Kluyveromyces lactis: one gene and its partner. The protein of the gene in region 1 binds, or shares a complex with, the protein of each later gene. Links are inferred from orthologs where the notes say so. Each region holds a gene or a part of one and is shown on either strand. Other genes may lie near its edges.

Region 1 (2,569 bases):
TTATTACGCTCATCTGCGATTTTGCAACGGAAAGGTACAACTGTTGCAACTTCTGCTGGACAGTAGCTTTTGTATCTAAATTCGTGGAAGCTTTATTGAACATTGCTTGCGAAATTGTTTGTAATTTGGGGACATGTACACTTTTGAATGTTTCAAACTTCTCTTTTGAAGCATCTTTAGAAGCCTCTTCTTTATATTGATTTGATACAAGCTCAATCTCTGTAGCCATTTCTTTAAATCGTTCAACCATTTGGTTGTCCATATCATCAGAACTGACAACTGAATTTTTTTTCACATCATCTAAATCTGAGATTAACTGTGTTCTCTGCTGGTAGCATTCATCAATACTTTTCTTTAACTCCTTTAACTTCGCATTTAGTTCACGATCCAGACGGTGAATGGAATCCTCGATCTCTGTTAGCTCGCTATAATTGAAAAATGATGATAATAACTGATTAGAAACTTTAATATTGCCGAGAATATTATCATAAAAGGAATGCCATTGATTTGAGGCACCATCTTCGTGAAGCTTGTTAAGAAAATCAACGTTGCCATTATACAGCACCTCCACTTCATAGCAGTAGTTTTTCAAATACTCAAGCATAACAGTACCACACTCTAATAACCGTTGAACGTCTTGATAAGTTTCTTTTATAACGTCCTGGAAAAATTCAACGTCTGATTGCAAAGCCTTCAACCACCCTAAATTCCGTAGAATGACATTTTTATCCAACTGTAACGAATCGCTTATCGGCGATGGCAAAGGTTTGAAAAGTTGGAACCTTGGCTTTGGGGAAAACTCGATCTCCTCATTGAATATTCCACGGTCAAATACGTATATTTCTTCCAATCCTTCTTGTTGCAGCTTTCTGGAATCCCATCCTGCTTTCTTCAATATCATTCCATAAGGTAACAATAGAAGTATGTCATCGAGCGGTATCTGGAAAGTATCACTTGCAAACTGTTTCAAATCTAAGAAACTAGGGAAATAAACATTAGATAATTGGTGTGAAACTCCTGATGTAGCACATATCAACTTGCATGGCGGCATTATTAATAAAATTATCAGATTGTAACCTTAAGACTTTGGAAAGAAATAAAGGGACAATGTCGATTTAATGATGATGAAATGGGGGGTGTTAGCTCACAGGATTCTATATCATGAGTATTCTTTAAATGCTGAGATATATCTAATCTGGAGTACTAAAGCCGTAAGCAACAAGTGGAATAAGAGCCGATAAACGTCAGGGGACTGAAAAACTATGTAACAGGTTTTCTCACCTATAAAACTTACCGGGGGGTCCATATAATCTTTTTTCGAATCAGTTTGGTGAAGCAAGAGCACGTGACTGATATGCTTTTATTATAAAAATTTGGTTTTAAACCTCCAGATGATGAGATAAACAGTTTTAAGTAAAGCTTTTTATATTCGCTAGCTTCGGCAGCATCTACTCTCATTGATATAACTAATTAAAAATTAATAAGAAAGTATACTGCAGATAAACTAAGCAAAGGATGGTCGAAATAAGGTACACACGATTCGATATCAGTAATGACATGGAGTTTTCCACCATCAAGAAATTGATCGATGAGGATCTCAGTGAGCCATATTCGATATACGTGTACAGATTTTTCCTAAACCAATGGCCGAACCTAACGTATTTGGCATGGGCAGAAGGATCGGGTAAGCCCATAGGATGTATAGTATGCAAGAGCGATACTCATAATGGAGTGCGGTTAAGAGGATACATTGGCATGTTAGCAGTGGAGAAACAATATAGAGGCCGTGGGATAGCGAAAAAACTAATTACCTTAGCTATAGATACTATGATTGATGAAAAATGTGACGAGATTATGTTGGAGACTGAATGCAGCAATGCAGCTGCTTTGCATTTATACGAGAATATGGGCTTCATCAGAATGAAGAGATTATTCCGGTATTATTTGAACCAGGGAGATGCGTTTAAACTCATTTTACCGATTACAGAGAAAAGTTGTGTGAGAAGCACATTCCTGGGGATGGATTCCTTTCCTACCGACACCATACTCTAAAGTAAATTGAATTGATTTTATATCAGTAATTGTCATTTTAATACACACACAATATATATATATATATAGCATTGCGAAAAGAGATTTCATTCCTCTTCATCGAACTTTGGAGCCAAATAGAATTGCAAATTACCGCTTGAGATATCGAATTGGAAAAGGGCTGGCGCTTCTTCCGATAATTTTATAGTGATTGTATCTGATAGAGAGGACCCCTTAATGATGTCGTTTAAATATTTAGCACCGAACCTTAAATCTACTGGTTTTTCTATGGTAACTTTAATTGAACTTTCAGGATGATCCAAATCGGTGAAAGGTTTCACAACAATGGACCCACTTCCGATATCACCTTCTGCGGCGAATTTGATGGTATCCTTAGTGACTAAGATGTTAATAGAATCACTCAATTGACTTAAGTCACGTACGGTCTTCGCGAAATCAGCAGATGGCATTGTAATATAGGATTCATATTTCATATCAGAGATCTCCAAGAAATCTGTTTCGATTTCCATCAATTTTA
Region 2 (2,613 bases), on another chromosome or scaffold:
ATATCCGCATCCTCATCCTCATCATCTGTATCATCGGAACTGTTCCATTTCCCAAACTGCTGTATGTATTTTTCCTTGGTAGCGTATTTGTTGATGTATTCATGTATCTTTTGTTCATACATATCTTTATCCTTCAGTTGCAACGTTGCTGCTTCGTTATTCAAAGGGTCCGACCCATTTGGCTCCTTCAACAACCCTGGGATCATCCATTCCACGATGTTTAAAAGGTCGTATAGCGGAGACCACGTAGAGTTGATCACGTCCAAACAGATCGACCCGGATGCAGCATCGATGTTCGGATGGAATATCTTGTTGACAAACCCTATACTGGGCGATTTGTAAGGATAGTTGTCAGGTAACTCAACGTGTAACCTCCACACCCCCTTTTCATACGGTGTATCCTTGGGACCATGAAATTTTATATGGAACTCTTGCATCTTATCTTCAACCAACTCAACGTCATGATCACTCATCAAAAGTTTCATGACGTCCGTTTCGATCCTCCTTTTTGAATTAGAACTGATTTCAAAAATGTAAACTTGTCGTTTATACACAAGTATATCGTGTAACGAGCCATTCAAGATTATAGTTAGTATTCTGAACAGATCATTCAAACTTTAGTCATAAAAGATACTGAGACACAGCATCTTAAAAAAAAGAAAAAACTCCATTTCAACGAACATACCTCATCTTTAATTAATAAGCTTGACCGTAGCGTGCCTATCGAATACAATAACGCGATATCAGCACCAAACGATTCTATTATCGTTGTCTTAACGCCTGGAACAGCAAAAGATGATGAGTGCTTTCCTTGTTGAAGGGGTTAGCAACTTAAAAGGATCTTTTTGAAGTTCACTTTCCACAATTTTCAAATTCAATGATGGCAGAAGACAGGAAGTCACGTGACAGGAAGAGCAAAAAAAATAGAATACAATGCACAAAAGAGAACCTCTCGGAATTGGGCAGCTTGTATCATAGCATCCCCGTCTTATTAATCTGATTCTGATTTCAAAGTCTCAACTTCTTGTTGTACCGATTGAAGCCTTTTCCTCAGAGAAGCCAGTTTCTTTTCGCGGTCTTCTGACGAACCAAGAAACAATTCGGTTCTGCTACTGTCGTCCAACAAGTTGAAAAGCTCCACCATATTAGCTCTTCTAGACAATAGGTCTTCTGCTGTGATTGTCTTGAGATTGACTTTCAAATCTTGTGGTTGTTCGGTTCCTTGCGTGGTGGTCATTGCGAAATACGATAATACTTTGATAAAACACTGACAAGATGTCGAAAATAACCAGAAGACACAATGGTTGCAGCTAATACGAGTAAAGCTTTCTGAAATGATATCAATTCCAGCGGATACTGAGTCGTTGATACTGAGTCGTTGATACTGAGTTGCTTAGTGAGAAAGAACGAGGATTTCAACGAGCATCTGAACAGATGTAGATGTTTATATCTGTTTAAAACTAGAGATTTCCCATTAAAAAAAAAAAATACGTAAAAGTATATGAAATGAGTTTAGTGCAGAGATTGAAATCTGGCAAACTACCTCAAAGATGAGAAACTGGGCAACGGCAACGCATCAACCAGTTATCATTATCACTCGCATAATTTACATTAATGACAGATTTATCTAACGTACACTTACACGATTTACTGAGCGAAACTTTGTACATAAACTTGGATCAGAAACGATCTTTGACCGGGAAGCTCATCGCTATTGATTGCAAAGCAAACCTTCTACTGGATGAAGTGGTCGAAAATAATGACGGCCATGTACGGAAGATGGGTTTAGTAAGTGTACCATTTGTTTCTGTACGGTCCGTAAAAGTTAGAAGGGAACTGGTCGACACTATCAATGCTCTGAAATTGAATATTTCTTCCCAATACGTATGATAATACAAATTAAAATAAAAAACTGATCTAACTGTTCCCAATAGGTACCTACAGACTTAATATTTCATTGGTTGAAGAGAGTTCAATATTTCACTGTGGCCCTGCTTCAGTTCATAAGTGGATAAATAATATAATAATCTATCTGCAAAAGTCGTTTTATTCCAGTGCATTCCATTGTGAGATGGTACACCGATCTGTTCGATGGCACAACCTGCAGCAATATTGCCACATATACTGGCAATTGAAATGTCTTTACACATGGCGTATGCGAATGCAAATGCTCCAAGGAAAGTATTTCCGCCTCCTGTTGGATCAATGACACATTCTGGAGTCTTGTAATGGTATGCTGGGAAATGGATAATGTCATCGTTTGATGGATTTTTATTGCAAATTAAGGCCAATGACCCTTTTTTACCACATCTGAGGACACAAATGTTACCAGGTTTAATCAATGCTGCTAATTTCAATAATATTGTGCTGCAATCCGAAAGTTCAGTTGGCTCTGTTTCACCCAGCATCCTAGCGCCTTCTTCCGCATTTGGCGAAAAGATGAAATGGTATGGTCCGTTGAGCAACTTCTTAATCCCTTCGAGGTGCTCAACGTTACACAAATCTGGTATTGGTTCCCATATAAACGTTTGACCTGTTTTCAGAGTTCCCTCAAATGACAACTCTTCGGCAAGCTTATCCAGAATATCGGCCACTCTATCAGCAGAACATAGC

What was found.
Region 2: the proteins of MAK3 (region 1) and MAK31 are in contact, whole or in part, in a crystal structure (PDB 6YGA), measured with the Saccharomyces cerevisiae proteins. The link is inferred for Kluyveromyces lactis from reciprocal best matches to the Saccharomyces cerevisiae genes MAK3 and MAK31. Residues at the interface, in NP_015376.1 of Saccharomyces cerevisiae: Glu13, Ser32, Ile33, Tyr34, Arg37; in NP_009948.1 of Saccharomyces cerevisiae: Ala30, Val31, Asp32, Gln34, Asn36, Leu37, Leu38, Ser57, Pro59.

Annotation. Positions count from the first base shown.
Region 1 is NC_006038.1:1,057,340-1,059,908, reverse strand, and holds MAK3 (peptide alpha-N-acetyltransferase MAK3), read left to right. Parts: upstream 1-1,515; coding exon 1,516-2,052; downstream 2,053-2,569. Other genes in the region: autophagy protein ATG11, read right to left, coding at 1-1,051; POL30 (proliferating cell nuclear antigen), read right to left, coding at 2,139-2,569.
Region 2 is NC_006037.1:973,840-976,452, forward strand, and holds MAK31 (Mak31p), read left to right. Parts: upstream 1-1,614; coding exon 1,615-1,890; downstream 1,891-2,613. Other genes in the region: E2 ubiquitin-conjugating protein UBC8, read right to left, coding at 1-519, 686-690; HTL1 (Htl1p), read right to left, coding at 992-1,237; MAK32 (Mak32p), read right to left, coding at 1,947-2,613. UniProt on the Saccharomyces cerevisiae protein: Component of the NatC N-terminal acetyltransferase, which associates with the ribosome to acetylate nascent protein chains in a cotranslational manner.